4 linked regions of the Lepisosteus oculatus genome follow. The protein of the gene in region 2 interacts with the protein of the main gene of each other region in a biochemical or structural test. Links are inferred from orthologs where the notes say so. Each region holds a gene or a part of one and is shown on either strand. Other genes may lie near its edges. The genes, in order: cftr, Na(+)/H(+) exchange regulatory cofactor NHE-RF1, ezrb and tbc1d10ab.

Region 1 (7,716 bases), on a different chromosome or scaffold from region 2:
CTTAAGAATTATTAGTATTAAGACTACAAATGTTGCGTTTCTGAAGTGTTCCACTACGGAACACATCAAACACCAGTTGATAATAAAATAACGTCATAGGTCCACACAGATAATAGCTACTGAATTAAGGAGTATGCCTACTTAATTGGTCATCTAATGCAGAACATCCTAATTTTGAATGGGACTGCGAAATAAGTATAATTAAATGTTAATATCAAATACAAATGAGAGCATCTTAAATAATGAAACCCATACTGTATATTGTTCTTATTAAATCTCTTTTCATCCTGTTTTAGATACAACTTAAGAGTCAGAAACTTACCCCAAAGTACAACAGGACTCCATAAAAGGCAAAGGGCCAGAAGAAACAGCGGCGAATGGCATTGAGAAGATTGGGATTTTTCTTCGATGATGCAAGTTCTCTGTCCCATTCTCTACCAAAGACCGAAAACAAGGCAATTAGAAAACTGTCACTGTGTGGAAACAGACTACACAGCTTTTTTCACATAGTTAGGTTGACTCACGTATAACCAGGGAGATCTGGCTAACTTATTAAACAGTAAAGTACACAGAGACCTTGAAGATCGAAAGGGTACCAACTTGTTAATTGAATAAAAGTTCAAATTCCCAGTAGACCACATTTTTGGCTGATTAAAAATGGCTAACTATATATCACCCAACAGGGGGCTGGCAGTTTAAAAGGTCACGTTTCATGCTTATGTAAGAGAACTGCTGAGATCTAAAGAGAAATACACAAATAATGGTAAAAATAAGGGCCTGGAGGAGCTCCAGTCCCAAACAGGGTAAAAACAAGGGCAAACATCTTTTAAGTCGCATGTTTGTGTCTTTAAAGAATGACAGAGGTGACATTTGGGGGTGGCCTGCGCTTTCAATGGCAAATATCCTAATTGGTGACATTTGCAAGACTTTTTAATTATAATCGGCAATATAGCCGCATAGACTGCTAGAGATACGATGGGTAAGGCGTGTGTTTTTTGGGAATATTTCACAGTGTCTGGTGTCTCAAATGCCTACCCACATTTCAAGTAAGACCTACAGCTGAAAGTTTCAGTTGCTAAAACAAGTACTGTACAGGGTTTCTCTGGAAATACAGTAGGAAATACACTTGAATAGCAGGTCAACTAAAGGACCTGCTATTCAAAACATAAGATGATGGTTACAGTGCATATCACAAAAGGGTAACAAGAAAGAGTTATTTATAGTGTTTTTCTTTAATGTACATACAGAACAGAAATGTTATATATAATGGATATATCAATAAATATTTGTACTCAAAGACTAAAATAGTCAGATTAAGGTATTATTGCAATTAAAGGTAAAAATACAATTTTCTGGACGTTGCGCGTGAAAGCTTCAGTGAAAGATTGCGATAAATGCAAACCTTTCTAGTCTTTCAGAAAGATGGTCAGCCGAGTCAAATGAAGGCACCTGATAAACATCTGATAATTCTAATTTCTGCCTGTATCCCTTTCTCAAAATTGGTGAAGCCCACCTGTAAAAAAAAAAACAAATCATCATAAATCAGACCTACAGTACATTCACAGATGTATCACTGATTTATAAATGCCACTACTACCTACTGAACATAGATCTACATTCACAGATTTATGACAGATATCATACATGTCAATAGTATCTATTGTAAACTTAAGTAAATAGAGTGTGAAGGGGATCTTTGTTTGTAATTATTATAACCTAATTGCCTTTATTGAGAAACAACTGTCATCTACAGTAAGTATACAAACAATGTCACAATGGTTCAGTCACTGCTTCTCCTAGAACAAATGTTGTCTGTGATTAAATTTAATATATTATGGAAAGAATATACAACACAAACAATTATGCAAGCTTTTAACACATACAGTAGTTGAAAAAGTTGTACAAAACACACTGGTGTATTTACTTGTATCTACTCAGCAGTAGTTACGGTTTTCGCTATTTACTAGAGTACATGTTTTCTAAAACTACGTTTTACGTGAAGAAAACTAATGATGAATTACTTCACAGCTTTCAATACTTTCATTTGTGATAATTGTATTCTCACATTTTGACACCAAGAAGATCTCCCGCTCCAAAGTATTTAAAAAAAACACTGGCAATGTTTAACAATAGTTAACTCATAACCACATCATATAAGAAAATCGAATTAAAAAATGCGAATTCATTAAACAATAGCTGACTTCTTAATTTCCTATAACTCGGGAAAGCTTTAATGAAATCTGATCCTCAGGCACGTCGCTGCAGGTGCACTTCATAAAGTTCTGAAATAACTTCGGACAAGGTAAATAAATTAATCTGTTAGTCGTATTATATTTTCAAACTTCAATATAAAAATGAAAGTAAGAAAAGTCATGCTATATAATTATCAAACAGCAGGTTAATGAACCACGTGCAGGGGAAAGTACATACAGTATTTCTAAAAAAATATTAGGACTACCAAAACGAATAAGCTAAATGCAGATTCACATCTGCACTGCAAAACTTTAGCAAAACTTTCTTTCAATTTCCATGACAGAAGAAAAGAATCGTGGTTTCATTTTTATCCTTGACTGAAACTAGAGTAAAAAAAAACACTTACCAGAAAAAAAATCTCGAGAAGGCGTTAGCATCTTCTGCAGGTGATTTCTGCATTCTAAAACAGCTTCCGTGCACCTGAGAGATGTGCTGGTTAAACTGGTCATCTGTAAAGTCTCCAAAATTGAATCAAGTCCCCGGTTTTGTTCTCCATGTCAAGATATGTGTGCGGTGATGTCACTGGTTTAATTGGCTCTGCCCTGGTTATAGCGTGTGCGAAGGACAAACCAGAAGGTTTGAAGAGTTGCGCTGTCGAACTCCACGCTCAGAGCCCACGATAAATTCCTTGTGTGTTCTGCGTTCACTGAATATTTTCTCCTCAGTCTGTTAACCTAGAACACTCAGTACATTAAAGGGACTGATTTTGAATAGCAGTGTGCGACCCACCTCTGCCAGATTTCATTCTGAAGTTTTGATTTCCATTTAGGCAACATTGCGCAAAAAAACAGCAGGGGAATTCTTATTTCGGCCAAGGCGTTTGACAAGATGTTTAAGTCTCAATATCATTAAAGCGTTTTCTTACGGACAAGAAGAAATGAACTGGGGAATGAACACCATTTTCACAGAGCATTAAGTGTTAAATTGCAGTATGGTACATAATACAAAATTGTGATTTCTATTATTTTATAACTGACGACAAATATCAAGAAAGTTCTTTTTGCTGCTGTATCTTATTGAAGACTTTCAAGACAATTATTTTAAAAAATAATTTAAATGCAATTTGTACAGTAGTCACAGGAGAATTCACAATTATGGTAACAACCAAACCTATTCCTAAAACGGGTAAGAATAAAGGTAGAATCTGCATATCCATCTTCAGAAAAAAAAATGCAGCAGACAATTTTGTCATTTACTCCAAGCATTTCTTTTTTAAATATCCCTTATTAGCAATTCCTCCTGAACTGCATCTTGGCTCTTTGTGTCACACAGCTTCATGCAATTTAAGCAGTGTATTAGCATCTATATTTGTTAATTCTGTCCTAAACGCCTAAGAATATAAGATTAACTTCTCACATGTCTGTTCTGACATTTCTGTTTCAACTGTAAACATCAAAGGGTGGCAATGCATCATGCTTTCCTGTTTCTGATTTAAGATATTTATGTTTAGTCAGTGTTTACATCCATAAACATTTGCAAAGCAAAGCATTCATCTGTAAGTCTTGATTGTACCACACAACACTGAAAAATGAAATAAAATTTTGTAAACAGTCATGTAATAATGTGTCGGCAAACTTTTATTTGAAACAAAGTTACTCTATAACTCATGTTTTTTTACTTTGTATACAGGTATATACTGCATCATTCTTATCTTTTCAAAGCTTTAAAGAGGAGCAATAAATATTAACCTGACCCCCATAACATACAGAGTGTAAGGCAATCAATACAGAAACAAACATTATTAAAAATAAAAAGTTATGTAAACTTATTTAATCTTAAATAAGAAATAATTTTTGTATTTCAATTATATGTGAATTCAATACCTAAATAACCTTACTGTGTTACAACATCTAAGGTGTCTTCAACAGGGAAAATAGTAAGAAAGCTAACATGGTTCTCATCACACAAGGGAAAACTAAAATATTTGTTTGTAAGTCTTTTTTCCAAAATTAGATGAAAATTTCAGAGAACTCTGGAGAGGTGATCAAAAAGAAACACTAAAGAAACAAATATTCCAATCTAGACCGCATGCAGTGCTAAACGTAGGGGTCGGTGAAACACTGCTTACAACATAAGAACATGAGACCAAACAAAACCTATGGAATAACACTTTTCCAAACCAAAGAGGCTTTTTCTTTTTCTCAGCACCTACAAGCACAACTCAAGCATACAGTATTAATGATCTTTTTTGCACATTTACAAAAAAACAACTGCTACCACATTTCAGCATTCAAAACTTGGGAACCAGCTGCATCTCATGCCCAGCAATCCTCCCCCACAACCTTCTTTAAAGCTTTTACATACTGTAGCTGTTTGTACTTTAGTGCTATCTTTGCTGTTTTGGAGGAGCTGTTCAGTATTTCAATGCTACAAACAAGACCTTCAGAGACCTAAATCACTGCTATTGTACAGTATATTGAAACATTCTACAAAACTGACTAAAGTTAAATCAAATCTTTTTCTGCTTTAAATCTTCAATTATTTTATAGGAACATGTTTTTATTATAATGTACAGATGCAGTGTTTGTTTTTCATTTCTACTGTATGCACCGAAATGGGTGTAGACTTTTCAGCTTAATATTCTTAATTAACTAAAACAAAGTAACTGTTACTGATACTGGGAACTTTCTGTTAGCTTCAAGTTTCCTACATATTTTCTAAGGATTAAAAAGGTTTAGACATTCCATTGTGGAACACAGATAAAAACGGTGAAGCACAGCTACTGCTGATGGTTCAGAAGTAACCTGAGTGGACGTCTAATGAATGCATTTTAACCTGAGCCACAAAAACTCTTCGGTGAGGTAGGGGTTGATCTATGAGCCCATCCTAGAGCTTCAACTCTGACTGATTCATCCACGGTGCGACAGGGAGCGCTACAGGAGGTCATTCTTGCCTTCTGCCATAAGACTGTACAACGCATCCACCTTGCGTCTGGGCAGAGGCAACATCGACAGTGACCTGTTTCTGGACTGAACGCATCTACACATCTACTGCTACATCTGTTCTCTTTCTTTTTCCTTTCCCGTCTACAACCGTTTTTTGCCAATATATGCCAGGGACCTGTGCAATACATTTATATTTATATTTATATCTATATCTATATTTACATCTATATTTATATTCATATGTGTAATATGATTTTTCTGTGTACTGTTCTGTTCTAGTTTGTTCTTTATGTGTCCGGACTGTGGGTAACTCTTTTAGTGCACCCCTCACTGTACTGATTGTATTGTATTATTATTATTGTATCATTCGTTACACTGTGACTGTGTTGTCTGTGTTAAGCTGCTGTTGCACTGCAATTTCCCTCACGGGATCAATAAAGTACAGTATCTATCTATCAAAACACAGAAAACCGCAATGGATTTGTATTTGAATATTCTTAACATTTGGAAACAAAGTCAAGGCAAAGCATGAGACAGATACATTTTTTTTATTACCTCCAATAATGTAAAGAATAATTTTGAAAGGCTGCTGTAAAATGGCTTATTAATTGTAGAGGGTGGTGTTCCAATAGGTACCAAGCTCACAAACCAAGCCTAATCCCAGTAAAACATATAAAAACACATTATGTAAGTAATAGAAATTTCCAGAACAGTAGAGGATTACTTTTTTGTCAGAGCATTCCATAACATTGCTTCCAGTCTCTCACTGAATACATTTTTATACATTTTTGAAAACATAACTGACTCGAAATAAAACAATCACAGGTGCCAGTGACTATCTTGCCCAAAAAAGCATCCATCCAAATAAAGGGAACAAGCCCTTCTATCAAGCCCAGAAAAAAGTCCTCCAAGTCAAATAAAATAGTATATAAAAATAGGAACATGCCCCAAAATAGAACAAATGCTTATATTTGCAAAATAAGTATTGTTTTATATATATATACCTCGGAGTGTTTTAGCCAGACAGACGTAAAAAAAGAGAAACTCAAACCTTGTGAACAAAGATATTGTCAAGCTGAGCTGAAAAGTGATCCAACACACATGCCTGCCTGAGAACTCAAGTGTTTGTTCTATTTTGGAGTACATTGCCATTCTTTTTTCCTACAGACAGAATCAATACAATATAAAGGTTCCCCAAACAAAAGAAAAACAACATTTTTCCCACCCTATCAACCACCCCCATCTCCGGTCACTCGCACTCCAAATATCCAGCCAAAAGATAATAATAATAATAATAATAATAATAATAATAATAATAATAATAATAATAATAATAATAATACACTTTATTTTACTGTATATAGCGCCTTTAAAGGTGGCTTCTCAAAGCGCTTTACAAGATGACAACAACAATAAATAAGAAGAATACACAAGATAAAACACAATTACAATATATACAGGAGACCATGGATGGTGGTACTAAGAAAAGCAGAGGGGTAAAGAATGGAACCAGATAAGTAAAGGCTTTTCTAAAGAAGAGGGTTTTGAGTCTGGATTTGAAGGAGTTTAGAGAAGGTGACTCTCTGATATTCTTGGGCAGAGAGGTCCAGACCTTGGGGACATAACAGGAGAAGGCCCTGTCACCCATACAATGTAGACGGGCTTGGGGGACAGTTAGGAGACCAGAATTAGAAGAGCGAAGGTTGTGAGGCGGGGAATAGGGCGATAATAGTTCAGACAGGTACTGAGGTGCCAAGCCATGCAGAGCCTTATAGGTGAGCATGAGGATTTTAAAGTCCACACGGAATTTGACCAGAAGCCAGTGCAAGGACTCCAGGATAGGAGAAATGTGTACACTTGCACTAGACCTGGTCAGGATTCTGGCTGCTGAATTTTGGACATACAGTACTGCAGTTTGTTCAGAGTAGATTTAGATACCCCAGCGAGTAGAGCATTACAGTAGTCAATTCGAGAGAACACAAATGTGTTGATCAGCTTTTCAGCCACAGTTATTGATAGCATAGGGCATGGTCTAGCGATATTTCTAAGGTGAAAAAAAGATGTTTTGACAGTATGCTGCAAAAAGATGCCATAAATTAAATCACACAAAAGTAATGGACCCACTGTACAGTAAATCCAGGCTTGACCAGGCTGGACCACCAGTGCCCCATACTGTACATCCAAGGTGCTTCCCATCCTGGCACCAAAAACCTGAGAAATAAAATACTCTACACAAATGATGACTGGAAAAGTCAGGATCCAATGATGTCAGATAGTGGGAAGAAGAGATGGCCACCAAAAAGCCCAGAACATTTTAATCATGGTAAGACTAGCCACCAAGCATGGAGTCATCATTTAACAAGAGCACCAACAAAAATTCAAAGCAAAGCAGGTAATCGAGCAAAATATTTTAAGGATGATGTGGTTTTTGCTGTCTGCATATAAAATAAACTATATTCTGTGTTATTCTGAACGATGCATAAAACTATTTTTTCAGGACACCTGAAGAAGGCTTCACAGCCAAAACGTTGTGTTTTCTCTCTTCTTTTTTCAGCATGGAATAAACCTATTACTTGTT
Region 2 (7,365 bases):
TCGTTTGCGTCACGTGAAGACGAGAAGGTGGCTGTTTCTCTTCAGGGGAATCCTGTACAGCTCCAAATTAAAGAAAAGGGGCCAAAAATGTTGGTGACACCAGCATGGTTTGGGCAGTGCCATAGCTAAGACAACTACTGTACATTTAATTGCTTTAAGGACACTGTAAAATCAAAAATAAAATTTAAGAACATTTGAGTTTCACAGGACTCAACCTTACAAAAGGTGGGAAAAAAACTGTTTTAAACACTTTTTTAAAGTTATTTCACAGACTCTCAGTGAAACAAACCCAGAACTTGTTACACCAAGATGCTGAATAAAACCAAGTCACCTCTTACAGTTTGGACTGAAAATTTTACAAGCTCTGTTGCAAGATGCAGAAAAGCACATTTTCAGCAGTTCTTAATATCCAGTATTTAATTTCCACACAATATCTTCTGATTTTTTTTTGGAAAGTCTTAAATAAGAACTACGAGCTCAAGAAGCATTGTTTAACTGTCCTATCGTGAAGAAATCTACTGTAAATTCAATTTAAAGGAGGCTGCAGATTTTTACATCACAACTAGTTTTCATGTGGTTGAGCAGACTGATTATCCATAATATAATAATGGCTACCCACAAAGCACTAAAAGATTGGAACAGCCTTTAACCTGTATCTTCAAAGTTCTTACGTCACATATCTAATGGGAGATACAGACGATCTTTCAGAGTAGCTAGTCAGCACACGTCACTGATAAAATGATTACAAAAAGTATACACAACTTCAATGTTTTTTTTAGCAGCACATTGGTTAGTACTGCTGCCTTGCGAATGTGGAGCCCTGAGTTCTCCCCATGTTCATGTGGGTTTCCTCTCAGTGCTCTGGTTTCCTCCCACAGTCCAAAGACATACTAGTAGGTTAATTGACTTCTGGGAAAACTGGCCCTGGTGTGAGTGTGTCTGTTGTCCCATGCAAGATGCATCAAACCCTGTACCCTTTGCTTTCTGGGACAGGATTAACTCCCCCATGATGCTGAATTGATACAGATAGATAGGTGAATGTTTCTTTCCATGGGATAACATAGCATTGATTTGACAAACACTACCCCCATAAATGTTACGTTGGAGGAGTGCCAATCACCACGAGACAGATCACTCACAGTATGCATGAACAAGAAACATCAATATTTCAGAAAAGCAGGCAAAAGCTCCTGACAAGGAAAGCATAATGTCCATGAGATGGGTCAAATTTCTGAGTATCTGCTCTGAACTTTAACAACCACGTGTTTCCCAGCCTCTGCTCTAAACAGACCTATTAACCTTTCCAGTGTGGGTCCAAGCTGTCTCCTTAAAAGTAACTTAGATTTACATTATAGTATTTTCGTTTACTTTACCTAGGTCAGCCAGGAAACGGAAGAAACATTTCTGCGGTCCGAAAGCATTACTTCAGCTGATAAATCGCGAGATGTGAATAAACTGTCGCACGTTTGGGTGGTAACAAATGTTCCTTTAAGCTTTAGCTCTGCGTTCAAAGATTGGGAAACCGGGGAAAAAAATTCCCACGCAGTTTGACGGAACACTCCTTCCACCCGAGCCCGCGGCGCTCTGCTACCTGGAGCTCTGAACCTCCCGCACCTGTGCGACAATAGAGGCGGACAAAGCCTGTGCTGTTCCTACGCTGCCCACAAACATACTGTTGGAGGCGAGTGTTAAGCTGCCTGAACCGAATGCCAAATACTGGAATTCAGCTAGAGAAACAGCCTGTTTTCACTAACTTTTCAGAAACCAGACTGATAAAACACTCATTTGTTTTTTTTTTGTTGTTTTGGAACTACACAAACTGGTTTCGTTCCATACAAAAATAAAGGGGGCTTGTTTATTAGTGTATGATGCGAGCTACCACATTGTAAATCACAGAAGTACTTACCTAAAGAGCATTACCTAGCATACTCCATTCAATCATACTAGTAATCTTAAAAACTTTTTCCCCCGAAGTGCAGGTAGCTGGCAGTTTCTCAAAATCTAATTGTAAGAGTTGGACTCTTAACAGCAACACAAAAAACAAACGCGAGACTAGCTGAACAAAAAAGAGATACAACGAGAGAAAAGTGCGGTAAACAGGTTTTCTATGCTTGCATTTGACGAAAGGGGGATTTTAAATCAGATCTCGAAACAACCGTTGGGAACACGTTTAAATTGAATCCATCTTACCTTCTCGGAGCTGACACTCGGCTTTTTCTCGCCAGTGATATCTCCATTTTTCTCCGGGGTCGGAGAAGAGCCCCGTCGGCTGCCGTTCTCCCCGACCTCCTCCTCTGACTCGCTCGGTATAGGGATGCCCGACGTGACATACTCCGGCTGGCACTTCAGGTTGTATTTTTTCAGCAGGTCGTCGGTCTCCCGGTCCACCACGATCAGTTTCAGATCCCCGGTTGTTGCTCTTATCCTGGACACCACTTGTTGGTGACTCTCGCTCTCTACGCTTTCCCCGTTGACAAACGCCAGCCTGTCGCCGGCGCGGAGCCCCGACGCTTCAGCTGGGGAGTCCGGCTCCACCAGCCGAATGAACTGACCGGTCTTCCCCTTTTCCCCGTGGAGGTGAAAACCATAACCATTCCCCCCTTTCTCCAGCGAACACAACCTGGGTCGAAGAGATTCGCTATGGCTGGACATCCTTGTTATTCTGATAAAAAAAACTGTTGAGTGTAATGTTGTCAGGTACTCCAAAAAAGTCTTATTTAAATAGGTCGCCACCAACGCCAGAAACGTGCACGGAACAACACGTTTGCACAGTTACTCAAAAAGTGCGGTGTAACTTCCAAACTTGCAGTTAAGGAAATGCAAATGGATAGATTTCGCTTTTAAAATCGTCAGACGTCTCGATGTGACTTGTCCCTGTCACCGCCAGCTGCAATTCCCTTTTTAAAGTGCACACAAGTCTCCTAAAAACTTCACGACAGTCTGAACTCTTTCTCACGAAAAGGGTTGCACTCTCCGTCACAGCCGAAAGCCTCCAATCTGGTTACTCAAATTAACTCCGCGCAGTTTATAAGGCAGCATGACGTTTCCACAGATGACAGCCAACAGCACCAATCATTGTCCGCCGTTCAAGTAACTTTACCACAAAGAGAGCTTTTATGAGCCAATGGCGACTGTCAAAATAATAGAGTAATTCAAGTTTCAGATAGCCACACGGTAAGATAATTGTTATCTTCCTGCAAAGGAAGTGCACTTTGTTGCACTTCTATTGTTGAGGTGTGCATTTTCCAATCAGCGCAACCCATGGAATTTAACCGAAGGGAGTTGAGTAATATCAGATCCCCACAAAGAACGTGTAAAGTCTGTATAAACTGCTTAGTACTACAGTACCAATCAATGCGAGAAAGAAGTATTTGAGACATTAGAATATGTAATTGTAACTTACAGTTATAATGTCGGCAACACAATTCTTCATCACAGACATAACTTAATACCTGGAGGGATTTCGAGCTCGCATAGGGGTTTATCGGAATCTTACTGCCCTCGATGGAGATCCACGGCAGCACAAGATTTTTAAAGAAAACCTTTTATGACTTTAGTAATTTGTTTTCATGGGTTAACATCTGCTGTGGTATTGGTACTGCTTCGAACACAAATGTTATTTCCGTAACGTTTTTAACAACTGAAAACTTGTTTCTGCTCGAAAGTGCCCACTCGCACAGTTGAGTAACACTAGAGATGGAGTGCGTTTTTTTTTTAGTTTCTGAGCTGTATACTTCAGGTGGAAACTGTCAGAGTAATTTGCTCCCATTATTATTGCATTGCATTATTGCAGTTACCCAGTTCTTAGCTTTCTAAAAACGTTACCCACTCTTCAAAATTCCTTTAGAAGAGAAATTTACATTTCCTTTTATACTTCTTCTATAACTTTATATCACTTTGCAAAGCCTAGACTGTTTTTTAATATTTTTAATTTATTTTTAATTTACCCAGCAGCTATATCACCCTGCAACTCACAACTAGCAACCCATTGAAGCTAAGCAGGTGGGAGCCTGGCCATTACCTGGGAGACCTGCTACCCCCTATAGTACCCTAATACCCCAAGTATGAGAACACAACACTGTCCAAAAGGCTACGCCTTGGGTGAGATATAAAACCGAGGTCCTAAGTCTCCATGGTCATTAAAAATCCCAGGGGTTTTAACAGTCATGGCCTCCTAATAATCCCCATCTATGAATTGCCTTCATCACTCTGCTCTCCTCCCCACTGAAAGCTGACATGAGGTGAGTGTACTGGTGCACCATGCCTGCCGTCACATTATCCAGGTGGGGGCTACACATTGATGGTGGTAGAGGGGAGCCCCATTACCTGTAAAGCTCATTGAGCGAAGTATCCAGAAAAGCACTACATAAGTGTAAGGAATAATTATTATCATTAATCCAAAACCAATTTCAAATCACTCTTACCAGATCAAACCAGTATTATTTGGCTACCAACATTCCATATCCCATGTTTGGGCGCTTTACCTAAGTCTCAAGGACAAATAAAGCAAACAACATGGACGCCGTGACTTCAGATTTTAAAGATTTTGCATAAAGTACCATCATTCTTTACATGTCTGTTTTTATGCATACTTTTTAAATTAGCTGTGAAGCAGTTCAATTGTTAAAAATTACCTGGCTCAATTGATAATTACACAATAATGTCTCATAAATATTTATGCTGGATTTGTGGATGTTCTTAATATTGTATTTATACCATTACAGTTAGGATATAAAAAAGTGCTCAATGCTTCCAACTTTAATGTATTTAAAGTTGGAAGTCCAACTTTAATGTTGGAAGCATTGAGCACTTTTTTATATCCTAACTGTAATGGTATAAATAATGGTATAAATACAATATTAAGAACATCCACAAATCCAGCATAAATATTTATGAGACATTATTGTGTAATTATCAATTGAGCCAGGTAATTTTTAACAATTGAACTGCTTCACAGCTAATTTAAAAAGTATGCATAAAAACAGACATGTAAAGAATGATGGTACTTTATGCAAAATCTTTAAAATCTGAAGTCACGGCGTCCATGTTGTTTGCTTTATTTGTCCTTGAGACTTAGGTATATGATTTCTAATCTCTTCCTCAAACACATGCTTGAATAATAAAATAAAAAATGAATTCTCTCTTGACCATTTTATGCATTTCTGCTCTGCCCTTTCTGAAACAGGTCATAAATAACAACATTCAATGGGCTGAATTTTTATATTGTAAAGGCCTCCTACGTAACAACAGTGTTTTGTACAAAGTAGACTAGAAAATTCCTTCATTGCATATTATTTTCTAGATTTCTGCAAGTTTTTAAAAGTAGCTATGAGAAGTCATTTTTCAGACCTAGGTTACCCCCTCAAAATATCATCAAAATATCATGAGACCTGCACATGGTGTTCTTGACATAGCAATCTATTCTCTTTACATTGATAATTTCAATTGTACCTTGTAGTGGCACTACTACAGACGATGCAGCACATTATGTATTTGAGTTAAGTAAAGTTCTATAAATAGAGAATTATAAATTGAAATAATTCTCAATAGTTTGGATGTAATGGATGTGCTCAATTAGAAATCTACTCCATAGTAACACTGCCAGTTTCCACAGAAGTCATCGGGGCACACCCAGTGCTGATTTTCTATAGAAGATATTCAGGTTTGATGCAACTAGAGTATATAGTGGATTGAGTGTGCTGCAGGCTGCGAATCAGCAAATTTAAGAACAGGAATTGTGCTTCTGGTTCTGACAGGCAAAATGCTGAAGTAACACATCCTGGAATTGCAGTGACCCGTGCATGAACTCCAGTTGCCTTTGTCAGTTTTGCATCTCATACACTTGCCATGGTATTCAGCAAAAAAACATCTACAGTAGTTAACCTCCCTGCCCTGACAGGATCCTGACAAAAAAGGTTTTTCAGTTATCCAAAAAAATATTACATGTCATTATACTGTAGTTCCAGGTCTGATGATGAAAACTGAATTGACTGATTGAATTTTATATGCTTTTACTAGCATGCACAGGATAAAGAGGAATGAACCATCCAGTTTATATATTATATATAGTTATATATTTGAGAATATAGTCAATATGCTATGGATCCGAATTGGCTGGCAGCTACTGTACAGTGTGACTTCATAGTATATTCACAACACCTACTACTGGCTGGGAACACCCTCCCAGTGACTCAAAACCATACCTGAGAGTCCTCCCACCTCTTGTACAGAACAACATAAAATATTTCTGTTGCCCCCTATCTCTTTCTTCAGTTGAATGTGAGGTTCCAAAACATTTTTAAAAAGATCCTAAAATCCAACAAGGAAAGACTCCACCTCCTCTTCCACTATGGAAAGACATATAAAAGGTACTGTATAGCCTCGATGTGTTTTCATTGTGTCCAATACAAACAATATATCACACAGTGTAAAAGAAAGACACAAATATTAGTTTCTAAAGGATGCTTCTTAATGTAGTTCACCTTCTTAATTTCAAGTTCAAGTTTATTTGTCATTCCAGCCATATACAAGTATACAGTGGAATGAAATACCGTTCCACCTGGTCCACAGTGAAAATACAGGCAGGACAGACAGGACACTGACATAGACATTGTAGACAGGATACACATAGTGCAAAGTGCAGATAGTGCAAAATACAAGGCAATATATAATCCAATATACACACCACACTGGGGGGATCTTAACCCTGTTTCTGGAATTGGGCCGGGGGCAAGTAGATTCCAGGGTGTTGAGGAGCCTGACAGCCTGCAGGAAGAAGCTGTTACAGATAATGGTATTGAGAGACCTGTGCCAGTATAATTTGATAAACGAAGTACAAATAGGACCAGAGAGAATGTGTTCCTTCCGGAAGAAGCTACTTTAGGCATATTGATGATTTTATACTCTTGAATAGGGATGTCCAACCCATGCTCTGGAAAGCCTTAATCTAGTATTACATCCTGTATTACTGGTCTCCCTAAGTTACATATTTCTAAAGAGCGGGAATACTTGTAAATTACCAATCAGTTAAGTTAGTAATTTATTCAATTAAAGGAACTCTAGTCCCTTAATTCAGTTTTGCACTACATCTTTAAACCCATTCTTTTTACCATACCATCACAATTTTTCCACGTCTTTCTAGATAAATGATTTGATGGTTACAGTACCAACAGTACCTGATGGAAGATCAGGATTTGAGACTCTTGCTGTAGACTGGAGCTGTTGGCCTCTGGGCTGTGCTGCTTTATCCTCTGCTGTGTAATGTGTGCACATGTGGGAAGGAGTTCCTTGTGTTCCTCTTTGTATGAGCTCCAGATTTTACTGCTCCATGCTGTACACTTCTCACGATAGAGCTGTTTGAAAAGC
Region 3 (7,554 bases), on a different chromosome or scaffold from region 2:
TAAAACTCTCGACCACAAGTCTAAGCGTACTGTACATCCCGCGTTCATCAACCTGTTGCAGGCAGGTCTAATTTGCGCTGCTGGATTTACAGCAGATATATACAGATCTATTTTAATCTTGTACTGCTATTGGCTATGTCCGGTTACGACACCTCCCCACCTAGATCAGAGTTCCACTGTCTTTGTGTCATGGGCGTGCATTTGCGACAGGCACTGCTGGTCAAACCCTTTGAAACTCTCACGTAATACAATTAGAAACGCAGTGGTATGGGTGTAAATAGACGCTTGCATCACTGCAGAAAAAAAGTTCGCTAACGGATCAAAAGTTGTGTTGCTATGATCCTGTTTGTTGTGCTAGTAAGGTTTATTGAATATGAATTTGCAGAACGCCCTGCCACACTGCGATAGCCAGATACACCACAGAAACGTCAAAGCAACCCGGATGATTGGGTTAAACATTATTTTCTAGTTTTGGAAATAAGAGGCTATACCGTTAAAGCTGAAGTCAACAAAGAAAATTGTTAATTATAATAAACTAAATCAAATTAAAAGTCTTTATAAAGTATTTTTACTATCTGTGACAGTGAAAGGGGTGTGCGGTATTCTTATCAGTTGGCTGAGATTTTCTTGGACCTGGATTGATTCTCACCGATCTACAACTTTGATTGCTCATTCTTTTTTCACGGAAAGATCATCTTTTAGGTGTGAATGGAAATTAAAGCCCCCAGACTCACACATATATATATATATGTATTATATATTTGTATGCACAAGGCAAAAACATGCTTGAAAATTGTTTTTTTTTTTCTTGAAGGTTGCATTTAATCACTTTATCTTTTTGAATTTCCTCTGGGCTATATAAATATATGCAAAAGGGGGATATGCTGATGGCTTCAACAGAAAAACTGAATCCTGAGTTCATATAAACCATTTAAAGGTTTGGAAACTGTATGCAGAGAGGGTAAGGGAAAAAACAGTATTTTTTATTCTTTCTCACTATAAAGTCAAGATTCACTAAAGTCTTCGATCACACGATGAACGTCTAGGTTTGGTATTTGCTCATTATTTTAGAAAATCTATTTAGAAAATCTATTCAGCTTGTGATGTTGTAAGAATGTACGTGCACTGTGTGGTATGCTTAGTAAGATTCAAACAGAGACATTTATGGGATTATGCATTTTTCTTTCCAAAAATACATGTATTCTTAAATTGTTGTGTGTTACCCTGTCATGTGTCCTGTCTGTTATTTATTCTGTACCCAGAAGCAGAGTAGCCCTGTCCACATTTGGGGCACCTTTCCCCCAAAATTGAGAGGTGCTGTGGCATCTAGGAAGTGTTGTTTTGCTGGTAATAATAATAATTAATAATTGCTTACACTTATATAGCGCTTTTCTGGACACTCCACTCAAAGCGCTTTACAGGTAATGGGGACTCCCCTCCACCACCACCAGTGTGTAGCATCCACCTGGATGATGCGACGGCAGCCATAGTGCGCCAGAACGCTCACCACACATCAGCTATCAGTGGGGAAGAGAGCACAGTGATGTAGCCAATTCATAGAGGGGGATTATTAGGAGGCCATGATTGGTAAGGGCCAATTGGAAATTTGGCCAGGACACCGGGGTTACACCCCTACTCTTTTCGAGAAGCACCCTGGGATTTTTAATGACCACAGAGAGTCAGGACCTCGGTTTTACGTCTCATCCGAAGGACAGCGCCTGTTTACAGTATAGTGTCCCCATCACTATACTGGGGCATTAGGACCCACACAGACCACAGGGTGAGCGCCCCCTGCTGGCCCCACTAACACCTCTTCCAGCAGCAACCTTAGTTTTTCCCAGGAGGTCTCCCATCCAGGTACTGACCAGGCTCACACCTGCTTAGCTTCAGTGGGTTGCCAGTTGTGAGTTGCAGGGTGATATGGCTGCTGGCTGCTGGTAAGCTTCATATACACAGTAGTATGGGCTCATCCAATTACTACTGCATAAGAAGCAGAAATGTTACTACAAAGTTAAGAGACAACTACAGATATTGTACCAATATCAGCATTTCTATACATGCTGTTTCTGAACCTTTATAATAATGAAGACAGAGTAGCAGTGATCAGAGAAACCAAGATATGTCATACGCAAGCTGATTCATTAAGCATCACACACGCCCTCCCTGACTTACACAGCTTTCCTTTTAAAATGAGAACACAATAAGCTGCCACCACACCTTGACAACTTCCCCATCAAAGGTTCACTGCATGTTATCAAAAACTTTTCCATTTCTGTTCAAAGATAACAATATTCTAGCAAATATAGCATTAGAATGAAGAAGAATTAATATGTTTTCACTCCTGCATTATTAGTGAAAATTTATTTTATTTTTTTGCGGGGGGTGATCATCTCTGGATAAAGGCATAATATTGTTTACAGATCTGGGTAAAAGGATGATTATAAGAAATTGTATAATAACCAATACAGACTGACATATTTCTGTATGTTGTTCGTATATAATGCCTATTTACTGTATAAGGGCAAGGAAGAGGAAATTTTGCCAAAGAGAAATTTTCAAATAAGCATACTGATTATAGTAGTTTCTCGGGCCCAACCTTTCCTTCACAATCCCTACAAGCAGTTCTGTGTAAATGTGTGCAGTTCTTTTAAGAATCACCTTGTCTGATGATGATCATGGGTGGTTCATGGGTAAAGCATGAAAGTGTGAAATGACCAAACCGATATCTAGATTTAAACTCTGTTAAAACCCTGCATCTGATAAGATGAACAGAAGGACTCCTGAATCCAAGCTATTCCACTGTTCAAACAGGTCTGAACAGCAAAAGAATAGAAGAAGTACATTGTCAACTGTTAAAAGAAACTGAACCTATGAGTTTTACATGAGCTAGCATGAAAAAAAAAACATTTCAAATAAAAAAATGAAACAAATGGAGCCATGGGATATGAATAAGATAGCAGCTTACTGTATTTGTATACATTTTACTTACATTTAACTTACCAGTGAGAGTGATTACAAATCTCTGTGTGGAGAAAATTAAAACGTTACTGAGCAATAATTAAAATAAGAGGTTGCACATCTTTATTACAGATTAGTGTTGACCACTTATAGCACCCTCCATACAGTATGTACTGTACCTGTGATAAACAGTCACTACAAGTTAATTTTGCAAGGGAAAAGCAGAGGTGTACACAAAGATTTCCCATCACTTATGATGTGAAAAGCAGGACTAAATATATCAAAAGCATACTTATAAAAATAACAACAAAAATTTAAAATGCCTAAAGTTCAAATTTATCCATATTTTGTAAATATGATGACAACAAATGTTTCAGCTTTAATCCTCTAATGTTTGTAGTTCTGTGGTACTCTAACAAATCCTCAGATGTTTTACATAAACCTCTAGAAGTTTCTTATTCTAGTATTTGTGTAATACACATCAACATACTAAACATGAAAATACTCATGGTTTGTAGTTTTCTATCTTACATATGTAAATATTCAATATATTTTGATAACATTTGTGTAAACCATTCTTTTTTAGGTCCTGCACCATTTAATTATTTCTGAAAGGATTGAGTGATGATCACATTTTCTTCTTCAGAAATCTAAGGAATTTCAAGGAAAAAATTAACTCCTTTGTTATGTTTACAGGTCACTAAATGGTTATTTGAGCTACGGTAGAGGTTTATCACCTCTAAAAGTAGACTAACAATTCTGACAAAGATAACCTATTCAGTGAAAGTCTGTATTACGTTGCCTGTGGGTTTCTTATTATCAGTCATATTGTGGCTGTTTCTACCACAAGAAGTATGTTTACTTTACTACTTCTAGTTTTATGAACCTAATAATTGCAACTAATATTTCTTGACATGACAGACACGTTCTATTTCAGCCATGATTGATGTGATTATTGGAGATGATTGATTTTTACCTTTCTATAGTGAGTAAACAATTCACACATGGCAACGAAAGTCACTGCTCACCGCCCTTTAAATTAAAACAGGCCTTGTACTGATAGTGCTGTGTACAACATCATTTGTTTCAGAGGAGCTTCTATCTTGACAAGATAAAACGCAAAAACTTGTGAAAGATGTATTATGCCTTATTGTAAGGTGGTTTCCCTGGATCCAGCTGCTGCACATAGAAACGCATAAAACCACACACGTCTCGATATCAGATGAATTCATCGTTTATTTTTCTTTCTTAAGACATTATGTATTACATTTTCAAAGTTCGCGAAAAGTTTAGTCCTCAAGATTGTTAAAGTTACCATTCATTCGGTCGTAACTTTTTATTTATATGTACCGTAGGCGAGGCAGACATTTCAACCAGACGTCTGCCGGCTATAGTCTAAGAACACTGTAGGAGATCATTAGCCGCATGAACTCTTCGTCTTCTTTGTGTTCTGGTCTCCCTATTCACTTTCATTTATTTATTTAAATTATTCTCTCGAGCTCCACGGATGTTGTCAGAGCTTGTTGCTGATAGGAGTCGCTGTTGGATTCGCCCCAGCGGTGACAAAACAGGAACCCAGGAACAGGGAGATAGAAATGAATAGAGCACTGTAGGACAGAATGAGTGGGTCAGCCATATTGCAGTACCGCTGACTTCAGCCGAGGGAGGGGAGTTTTCGAGGCTGCGGCTCGTCAGTGATTCTAATAAAATCACACCTGCTTCTGGTAAGATAATTTATTAAGTTATATTCAAGCGAATACTTTACTGTTTTCGTAAAGTCTAGCGGGATGGTGGAGGTTATGTTACACAGCTCTGTTTTGCACTTGTTAGGTTTTCAAAGGAAATCTCTCAACAGGTGTTACAGGGATTATTGTGGGCTGTGGCTAACTGCTGAAGGTTAGGTAAACCAGATTATTTTCTCTCAATTGCTCAACCATTTGGGTAAAAAAATGACGCATCAAGGTTTAAAATATGATGGCTTTTCCTTAAAATGATTGTATTCCTCTTCAGGTGAAGCTCTTAGATTTATCTCGCAGGCTTGATCTGGAGAAAAAAAGTTACGGTATACGTGCCATTTTAAGTAAGACGTTATTTTGAAGGAAAAGTGAAAGAAATCTGTTACTAGTATCTGTCTGTATGTCTGTGCATAAACCTAAATAACTAAATGTACGGATATATCGATACTTACATTTTCTTTCGTATTGAAAATGTATTATTGTAAAGCTGATTTGCTTGTATAGAATATTAAGCACGAACACTTTTTAGTCCTGTAGCTTGTGAATTTCAAGGACGGGATCGAAAGTAACCATTGGTAATCATTTCTCCTGTGAAGTTGCACTTCAGTCTTTCTCCGTACGTGTTGTTACATTGTCAGCAGTGTGTCTATAAAACGCAAGGACGTCGGAGTACTTTCAGTTTTCGCTTAATGTATTTTAAGTTTTCTATCACGGTAGCCCTTACATTTATTAATGGTGGCGATATATTTGGTTGAATTTATTTCTGTGCGTCCAAGGGTCACACCTTTGGAGGTGCTGAGGTAAGTATTTACCAAAAAGGGTGGAGACTGAGCGACCTTTAACTAGTGGTATTGCACACTGTCGGACGTCTTTTTTTCACTTGGGTGAGGCCCGTTTCTAATCAGGAGTTACATACTTAATAATGATTCATAAACGTATATCCCACAGGTTTACCTGATTTTCTGTCACATTACACAAGCTGAACGGAAGAACAGATTTCTTCTGATAGTTTCTGAGGTCTCTCAAACTTATTCCTCTACATTTTTTCAAGAGGAGTATTTCGGAGGAAAAGTCGTCCGCGTTTGGCCCAGAGTATTGAAAGAAAACTTTACTGAACCTCTGGTGGAACACATACAGGGAACCGAATATGCCAAAGCCGGTAAGTACTTTCATTTATCAAACAATACCCTGATGGAACGTATTTTATTACACAAAAAAAAACGAGTTTGTATATCCGTGTATTTAGGATATTCTTCAATGAATGTCATACTCTTTATATTAATATACTAAAGTTTATAGCTTAAATCACGTTCTTTTAACAATGAATTATTTGAAAACAATATTGAAACTCTGCTATATAATAATGTGTATCAAGATGTGTGCAATGTTTAATATGTCTAAATTGAAAAGTATAAAAGAAAAGCAGTTAAACAACTTAATCTTTATAGAAAAAGACTTAAGATAGTTCATCATATTTATTAGACTTTTAGAATAATGTTTGGATATTCTATATTTCTGAGCTGAAAGAGACAAAATAGGTTTGATCGGTGATTTAAAGGACATTTCGAGCCAACACAAGCAAAGGTAAGCTAATTTGCAAATGTGTATGCAAGGCATGAGCAATATTTTATGGAAGGACCAGATGTGTGGCTTTTCTTTGGATTCTGAAGTCCAGTTAAGATCATGTAGCATCTTGCCTTCCACAGTTTATTGCCTTATTATAAAGTATAAATTAATATTATATTTAATGTCATTAATATGTTACTGATATTACATGATTAAAGTTACATTTCAGTATAATATTGCATATACAAATGTTTTTACTTGTTTTTAATAAGGTTCCATAGGTACAGTATATGAGGAATCATTGCTCAGATGTGAATTTCAGGATGCCCTGTTTTTCTTTAAGTAGAGATAAGGATACTGTGTGCTTTGGTTGAAGTATTTCCAGATTAGTTCAACATTCCCTGACAGTTCCTCAGAAAGATTGCAGAGGTTGTTAATACAGGATTGATGTTCAGTGAAACTAGAGCATTCAGGGACTTAACTAAAAACAAGGCTGATCTTTGTTTCATATTCTGTCTGAATCTAGAAATATCTTGTGTTTATCCTCACAAGACATTCTGAAAATAATTAAATGAAAAATAAGTTTATTTTGTTAGATTCTACTCAATTGATTACACCAAGGCTATCCCTATCAGAGTTTAATACTCTTTGTTGTTCAAGTTGCAACAGAGAGCATTTAATGGGTAAATAAAGAACAGTTAAATAAACGTATTTAAATGAATAAGTATGTACTTTCTGTTAGAAGCCTTCAACAAAATGCTTAGTAACGTGATTGACAAATCCATCTGGAGAAAGGAAGAAGAAATGTGTGCGAAAAAGTGGATTTATGTTCTGGCATTGTATCAATCAGAGTGTAATCTCTTATGCTACTAATTCTCCATAAGTAGTTTCAGTAATTAAACTGAGGGATTAATCTCATGCAGTCAAATCAAAACTATTCCACAACTTTTTGCCTTCTATTGGAAAAAGCAGGAATGTGTGCTCATAATTGTTCTTGTCCCAATAATTATATGAAAATAGTTTTAGGTCCAAATGGAGTTTCTGCTTTTTAAAGATGATATGCTAAGCCAACAAGAATATAAATGTAGTGATATTATTTATCAGTAACTTTAGTGTGACCTCTGCCTCTTATTCTTTTGTCCTTAAATTGTCATTTTCTAACATGCGTTGGCATGACAATAGTTGTTGTCAGAGGAGTAATAACCTACAGCACATTTGTCTCATTTATATGCCTTACAGAATGGATTTTGTGTTCTATGCTGTAGTTCCTCACATCTTGAATCACTGATAGCTG
Region 4 (7,427 bases), on a different chromosome or scaffold from region 2:
AAGTTGTCTCCATCTGCCCTGTATGCTGTTACAACATGGCAAGTTTGTTCCAAGTTATCAATTTCTCTTAACGTCTGCTATTAAAGTTTTTTTTTCCTGAACCCTTGGAATACAAGTACTAGAGTTAAAAAAAATAGCATAGTGCAAAAGGTAACGACATGTAATCACATGTTCATTCAAAACGAAATGAACTTTAAGATAACCGGACTTATAAGTATGACATGAAAGTACCAAAATCTCTGTAGTCATTGCTGATGGTAATGATGATTGACAGATGTGAAAGTGAAACACAGTCATGCCTGTTACATCTCCTAATCAGGTGGTCCTGGCTGTTTTGGTGGTACCAGATATGTTGTACAGTTGGATTTAGGCAATAAATATGAAGGGCAGACTAGCCTCTTGATAAATATCTTAACTGCTAAAGAAAGTTCAGAATGACCTTTTTCCATTGTTTGCTTCTAATATCGTCATGACTTGATGCCCTTATGGACTTTTTTTTCCTCTCACTTTCAGGGCATTTTCATCAAAGACTCCAACTCTTTGGCTTACTACAATATGAATAACGGCTCTGTCATCCATCTGGCTCTGAAGGAGAGGGGTGGCAGGAAAAAGTGAGCCTGGAATATTGGATTTATGGGATTCAACAGCTTTCCATAGACACCGGTGCTGTTTCCTTTCTGTAGGTTAACTTACTAAGTGTGTCAGGGTGAAGACGCAGAGTGGTGTCCATGAGATCACATCTCCAAAGATGCAGAAAAGCAGCCACTACAGAAGACAAGATTTTGATGTTAATTTTTGTTTATCTCCTTGGTGTAGTAATAGTTTTTTCAATCCTGTTTTAAAATCTCCTGCTTTATGTACCGTATTTTACATTAATCTGTTTATGCTATATTAGGTAGAATGGGATTATTCTTAACACAGATAAGAAAAAATACAATTTATGATAAATATAATACTGTTTAGTTATTACATTTACATGGTTATTTTAGCTTCAAATTCAACTTGAAAGCTATTAAAAGAACTTTCAGAATGTATCACGTTTGTACTTTCCTTGAGTAGATTAGTGTTCTGTCTAAAAGTGTGAATAAAAGTCTCCTCATTTTCACGTATCACTTCAGTACCAGTTTTCATGTATTATGTGCTGCTGTGTTGACTCCTTTTTAGACCCAATATATAAATCTGCCATTAGCTTAGTCTTTTTACTGCTGCTTTTGAATTTTATCTCTGAAAGAATAATCCTAATGATCACACAATCACATTCAGTATATGAATGCTTATTCGCATAAGGGCTAGAAAACAAAACCTGGGACCTTGCATTGGGTTACAATTATTTGCTGCTTTTTATGTAGTTTTAATGAAGAGGTTCCAGATATATAACCCAAAATGCATTTTAGATCAGGAGTTTCAAACAGAGTTCCTGGAGGGCCTATTGACTTTTTAGTCCATCTAAGCTTTCTTACATAATTGGTCTAATTTATTTAACTGCATATTTGTAATATGCAAAGGAACATGTAATAGGTTTATTCCATGGTGAAAAGGGAAGAAAATAAACGTTTTGGCTGTGGAGCCTTCTTTAGGTGTTGCCCAACAGCTGAAACATTCTTTTCTTCTCTTTTCAGTATGGAATAAACCTATTACTTTTTCCTTTGCAGCCTATGCATGCTGACGCAGCTACCCACCTGAAGTATTTGTAATATGTCTGTTCAGTCTCTGACATTGTATACATAACTATACATTTACTTGGCTAAATTAAGTGATCAACTGTAAATCAACTTGGAAAAAATCCAATACATGTACAAAACTCTTGAGCTTCATCCAGCACTAGGCCCTCCAGGAAGAGTTTGAGACCCCACTTGTATATTAATTGACAAGATAGTCTACATTGTAACCGAATTGCAACCATTTATTGTCCAGTTTTGCTGGGTTTCTATGTATAGAAGCCCCATTTGTTTTTCATGCGTCATGGTGTTTGGATGACAGATTGTTTTCTAATCGGTGACCATGGAATCTTGTGGTTTTCATTTCCTCTTAAGATAAAATGAGGAATTTTATTGGTTCCCTTGGTCATATTTATAGTCCTGCTGGGTCTTATTGAAAAAATTAGACTGAGTCAGTGCACTCTGTACTGAGACATGGAATTTGGACATGGATTTTCTTTTCCTTGATATAAGAAATTTGATTAAGAGGCTAATTATTATGTGAAACCTGGATGCGATTATTACTCAATGTTGTTAGTGTATATTGAAATAGAGAGATCTTTACTTTCAGACTTGCAATACCAAAGTCCTGATGTTTAAAGAGGGCTGCTACATGAACACAGAACAAATTGGTGCAGTTTCAAACCTACGATCTATAATTAGACACTTAACTAATCAATCTTATTGGGGCTCTATTGACGTTCTCAAAAATAGCTGTTGAAAATGTGGAGTTCAGCAGGACTCTGTCATTTGGTTCTCTGTGCAGAAAGCTTTCACTGGTTACCAAGCTAATGACTTCTGGACTGTCGATTGTGCTTTGGTAATATCTTTAAAAAAACAGTATTGTGTGTTTTGACAGGAAAAAATACAAAAGACTGAAAATAACAGCAACTGATTTATTTTTTTCTTCTAATTTGTCTGGTGTTTTTGCAGTACCTAGAATGTTTGGAAGGTGGCAGCAAACCATTACAAACTGCAATGTACAACAATTTACTTTTACAAGATTGAAAAGAATGGCCTATAAACGCCTCGTTGTACACCTAATGTGCTTTTCATTAAACGGTTTTTACTTTTTACCAGTGCAAATCTAGTATTGTTTTATGGTTTTAAAAAAATTGATTGTCTCAGGTTACAGTCGCGGGTTAATCAAAGATTCTATCACAACTAATATGTTGCATCTAATTTATAGGAAGCAGACGTGTGTAAATTATTCTTATGCATTTGCTACTACAGTGCTATTAATTTTAACAGGTTACATATTAAAACAAGTTGAGTGACAGATTTTAGAGAAGCTCTGAAGAGGCTGTGTTCTTTGAGAAGACATCTAATCTAGTACATAACAATGGTTACAGACACGAGAAGGCTGTTGGGCCCCACGAAGTTCCTTTGGTTTTTAGTAGCTAATTGATCTGAGATCTCCAGCATCTTGAAAGCTGGAAGAGCATCGACTTCAACAACATGGATAGTTTGCTCCAACCTCCTGCAACCTGTTGTGTCAACAACGCCCCCTCTTCTCTGTTTCAAATGCAGTTCCCCAAAGTTAACACCTGTGTCCTGTGTGGTTGAGCAAGAAGTTCCAGCGGTTGAATTTGTCTGTGCTTCCGAGGACTTTCAAGATTTTATCAGGTCCTCTCATAGTTTTCTCTGTTGAAGACTCAAAGGGAGCATAGGCCATTTCTTTGATCTCATGAATGTATAAAATTAATCTTCTCTAAGCTGATTCCAGAGCAGCATTTTTTAATTCTAGTGACCAATGCTGTTCCCAATTTTCTAAATGTCTTATGAGTGCACCTTACATTAACAATAGCCCTTGATTTCACTTTCACACTTAAATATTTATCTTAACATCCTGTTTGCCATTGTTTCCCTAACGTCTTGAAGATGATAAGCACCCATTTTCTTCAGAAGTAGCATCTTCAAATGCATGTTCTTATAGTTTAGACTAATTCCAAACAACACTGTGCAGTTGTCTACATTAGTCATCTGCCAGGTGCTTGCCCAGTTCTGAAATTGGTCTTTTCAAAATGCTTTGATCCTAAAGACCCCTACGATTTAGTGTTAAATAATCCTGTTAGTTTGGTATAACTTGCTTAACACTTAAACTACATTACCTCAGCTTGAGCACTCACCCTTTAACTGTGCCTTCTGTTTACATAATTCGATTTTCAGTCTGAAGACATGCATGGCCTTCAATGCCAGCAATCAGAGGGTTAACCTTTATGAGGAACTTATCATAAAAAATTAAATATACCCTACCGTAAGCTCTGCTTGTATCCTATACCGCTAGAGAAACCTTTAAAAACCAATAGGTTTTTGTTCTCGTGTATACCTGTGACTATATCCTCGCTTGACGAACGAATATCTTCTGCCTGCATACGCGTATGGTCTCTGGGTTTTCTTTAGATTGTCTGCAGCTGTAAAACAAGTTGCCCTTCGGGGGATAATAAAGACGTCCTCAACACCTTCCGCTTCCAAACCCCCAAGTAAGCTGCTCCTCGGTAGCCTTTTGGCATACAGGGGAAGTGAGCAGTTGCTTTCAGACTGAGCGGAGATGACGACGACAACGACCGGCGTGTTGCAAATGCATTGAACACCACGCATCATCTGCACGAGATCCCGGGTCGTCTGAGGGGCTTCAGGTATCGGTAAGCACAGCATAGACTTAACTGACTGACTGCATCCACTAATACAGGCTTCCTGCGCACGGCTGGGGCGGGTCTGTCCAGCACCGCGCAGGCGCGGGCGGCTCCACGGGCAACGTACAGTAGCTGCAGACGGAGCTGGGTGGGCGAAGCCGCCGTGTTCACGCGTTGGGTTTGATCATTTTGTTTGTGTTTGGGGCGAAGAAAGAGTAGCAGCCCGGCGATTAATCGGGAAAGCAGCGAGAGGTGGCCTGCGTCACCGCCTCCCCCCACCCTGCTGTGTGGGCTGTGAAGGCGAAAGGATTTGGGGAAGACGGTGGAAGAGAGTAAACACGGGGGATTTAAACACCAGTATTTTTCCCCCTCCCCTGCGTTAACTACAACAGACAAAAAGAGGTGGCGGTGGCTGGTTGGGACTGCGCCGATCGGACCTGCGAGAGGGCGGCTCTGTCGGCGGCGGGGATCCCTGCGCTCCGAAAGGACGGCCTGCGGAGCCACTCGGGACCGGAGCTGCGGGATTCACAGACCGGGGGGGGGAGAGAAACAATCCTAAAGAAGCTCCCTGCCGTGGGGGTGCGGGCGAGCCGCCGGACTGCCCTGCCCGTGTGCTCGACCCCTTGCCCGTAGCTGCAGGCTCTGCTGCGCGCAGGGCGGTGCAGCTGCTCCGGGCTCGGCGCCGCGCAGCGCGCCGGGAGGACCTGGGCTACACTGTTGCCGTCGCTGGCGGCAATGTTTCTGGACAACCACACGTCTGTAGCTGCGTGATTGTGGGGGTCTCTTAAACAAGACGTGCGACACTCAAGCCATGGTGTTTCCGCGGACTTGGAGTTAACTGGGATTTCTTTTTTCTGCCCCGAGAGCTTCTTGCGCTTTTAATTGAAATTCGCATCCTCCCACCTCCGTGCTCCGGACATATATATTCTGCTTTTTTTTTTCTTTTTGTTGTCGCCCTTGTCGTTTTCCCGGCGTGTTGCTAACCGGTTGCCCACGGAAGTGAACGCGTTGCGGGGGGTTTCGGTGCGCAATGAGGGCGGCCGGGCTGTGCGTGAGGCGAGGGGTGAAGACGTGAGGAACAGCTTGGGACCGCGAGAAGGAAGCAGCTGAGCCGAACCGGGCCGGGCCGGGCCGGGGAGGGGAAGGGGGTGGTGGAGACGGTGCAGAGCCTCCCTTCTATTTCAGCGCTGTGGTTTTGGGGGTTCAGGGGGAAAGGGTGGGTGTGTGAGGGTGAGGTGTCATGGCCAAGACTGAGAATGGGCTGCGGTCTTCCGATCCGCAGAACCTGCGGGGGACGAGCGAGAGTCTGGCCGAACGGGAGAGCAGCTCCTTCGGGTCGGACTCGGAGGTCAACGGCTTCGCCAACACGGAGCGCCAGACGGACAGATATGGGTTTATTGGAGGAGCCCAGCAGCACACGGGACACTCGTGAGTAGCTATGACGAGCACGTCATTTTATTGACCTTATTTTCTTCCTGTTGTTGTTGTTGTCATCCGGCGTTGTCCGCTTTCGCTCAACAGCGCAGTGAAACTTGTACCTGTATTCCGGGGGTTAGACTCCCCCCCCCATGGCTTGACTTGTAACGCGTTTACCAAAGGACGGCTGGTAAAGCTAGGCCGTTACCCACGTGTACCGTGGTTTTGCTGGGGAGTGGGTGTCGCGCACTCTGCCTTGTGGGCCCCGTGTCGTGTGGGTGTGTGAAGTGTCGCGAGTTGGGTGACGACAGAGGCGGCTTGTCTCTGCAAAATAAGCAACACCCTGGGGAAGGTGGTGATACTCAGCGTTATCGGAAATTCACTCTTTTAAGCACTGAAGGGGGGGGGGACTTATAAGAGGTTGCTTTCCCTTCTGAAGCTAGCCATGTTAGGTATTCCTCATGCACACACCTAAGAAGTGCAAGAGGTTCCGGACTGAGGTGGGCTGTCCAGGGGGCTTGTGTTGGTGAGCACACCAGCCTGCCGTCAAGGGCCAGGCTCTGGTTGCTGTGGCTCAGTTGTGTCTGAGTGTGAGATATCCTCATTCTTTAATTTGTCAGGATTGTGTGGGCTTTCCGGCAGCCTTAACTCAAAGCTAAGATTAGGAAAGACTCAGGTTGCTGAAAGGTCACTGAAGCTCCTCGTAATGAGTAGGGCTTCTGAAAGCGTTTTTGTTAATGCTTGAGAGTCGGTCGCACCCGAGTGTGGCTTCTAACTGCATTTTCTTTGCAACAGGATGAGTATTTATAATGGATTTTCTATGGTTTCTTAGCAACCAGTTACCACATTTGGGTGTTGTCTTGGATTATATGTCAATGTTGCTTTAATTCATACTTAACTGGCCAGAAACACGGTGACTAACTTTCGACAGTTGCTTGAGTCCACGTAGCAAGATCTTGCATTCAATGCGCAAAATGAAACGGGCTTAAAAAAAAATAACCTCTTTTGTGAGGTATTCCGGCTCGTGACAATGGGTTGCAATCCAATTGGATACTGGACATTGGAACTGAATTACAATCCAGTGCCACAAATGATTGAGCATACAGTCGTCCATATGAAAATGGGATTGCATTGTCTCCTGCTTTGTTCTGTGCTTGGAGCTAGACTGTGTAGGTATCGAGGCTCAGTCCCAGAGTTTGACGTTTGAATCTGTTAGGTGTGTGTTCATGAAATCTTCCGCCCGGTTTCCACCGCCTGTACCCCTTGGACTCGGACTTTTATCTTAAACCGCAGTCCAAGCCTTCTTTGCCTGGTCTAACTGCTTGAATCTGTTGAGACTTGCTGTGTGTGTGTGTTGACATCGAAGTAATGACTCAACAGCCGTATTTAATGCCGGACTTGTTTAGGTGTCACAAGGCTCTTATGTTCCGGTTTGGAGTATGTGGCATTTCAGGTCCAGGCAGTGGTGGGAGGGAACACAATGTGAAGATGGGCACAGAGCACCCATCCGGTCAAACCTGAGTAAAGCCTGATGACGTGGCTTTGTGCCCTGTCATATGCTTATTTTAATATGGCACAATACTAAGTACCGTGGAGCAGCACAAACATGGCCGCGTATAGTCAGGCTTGACCTCGTGTAGGCCCTGATGCAGATGCTCGCCTGCCTAACAGAAGGCGT

Evidence for each region.
Region 1: the proteins of Na(+)/H(+) exchange regulatory cofactor NHE-RF1 (region 2) and cftr form a complex in vitro, tested with the Homo sapiens proteins (9 studies listed by BioGRID and IntAct, with this or other methods). The link is inferred for Lepisosteus oculatus from reciprocal best matches to the Homo sapiens genes NHERF1 and CFTR.
Region 3: the proteins of Na(+)/H(+) exchange regulatory cofactor NHE-RF1 (region 2) and ezrb form a complex in vitro, tested with the Homo sapiens proteins (2 studies listed by BioGRID and IntAct). The link is inferred for Lepisosteus oculatus from reciprocal best matches to the Homo sapiens genes NHERF1 and EZR.
Region 4: the proteins of Na(+)/H(+) exchange regulatory cofactor NHE-RF1 (region 2) and tbc1d10ab form a complex in vitro, tested with the Homo sapiens proteins (2 studies listed by BioGRID and IntAct). The link is inferred for Lepisosteus oculatus from reciprocal best matches to the Homo sapiens genes NHERF1 and TBC1D10A.

What each region holds. Positions count from the first base shown.
Region 1 is NC_090702.1:45,444,080-45,451,795, reverse strand, and holds the start of cftr (cystic fibrosis transmembrane conductance regulator), read right to left. Parts: upstream 3,001-7,716; 5' UTR 2,653-3,000; coding exon 2,600-2,652; intron 1,514-2,599; coding exon 1,403-1,513; intron 435-1,402; coding exon 323-434; intron 1-322. UniProt on the Homo sapiens protein: Epithelial ion channel that plays an important role in the regulation of epithelial ion and water transport and fluid homeostasis. Mediates the transport of chloride ions across the cell membrane.
Region 2 is NC_090704.1:34,890,417-34,897,781, reverse strand, and holds the start of Na(+)/H(+) exchange regulatory cofactor NHE-RF1, read right to left. Parts: upstream 3,014-7,365; 5' UTR 2,653-3,013; coding exon 2,191-2,652; intron 1-2,190. UniProt on the Homo sapiens protein: Scaffold protein that connects plasma membrane proteins with members of the ezrin/moesin/radixin family and thereby helps to link them to the actin cytoskeleton and to regulate their surface expression. Necessary for recycling of internalized ADRB2.
Region 3 is NC_090697.1:44,087,932-44,095,485, reverse strand, and holds the start of ezrb (ezrin b), read left to right. Parts: upstream 1-4,542; 5' UTR 4,543-4,682; intron 4,683-4,767; exon of another isoform or gene 4,768-4,859; intron 4,860-5,392; exon of another isoform or gene 5,393-5,494; intron 5,495-5,745; 5' UTR 5,746-5,841; coding exon 5,842-5,853; intron 5,854-7,554. UniProt on the Homo sapiens protein: Probably involved in connections of major cytoskeletal structures to the plasma membrane. In epithelial cells, required for the formation of microvilli and membrane ruffles on the apical pole. Along with PLEKHG6, required for normal macropinocytosis.
Region 4 is NC_090717.1:13,823,415-13,830,841, forward strand, and holds the start of tbc1d10ab (TBC1 domain family member 10A), read left to right. Parts: upstream 1-4,410; 5' UTR 4,411-5,573; coding exon 5,574-5,761; intron 5,762-7,427. Other genes in the region: sf3a1 (splicing factor 3A subunit 1), read left to right, coding at 514-615.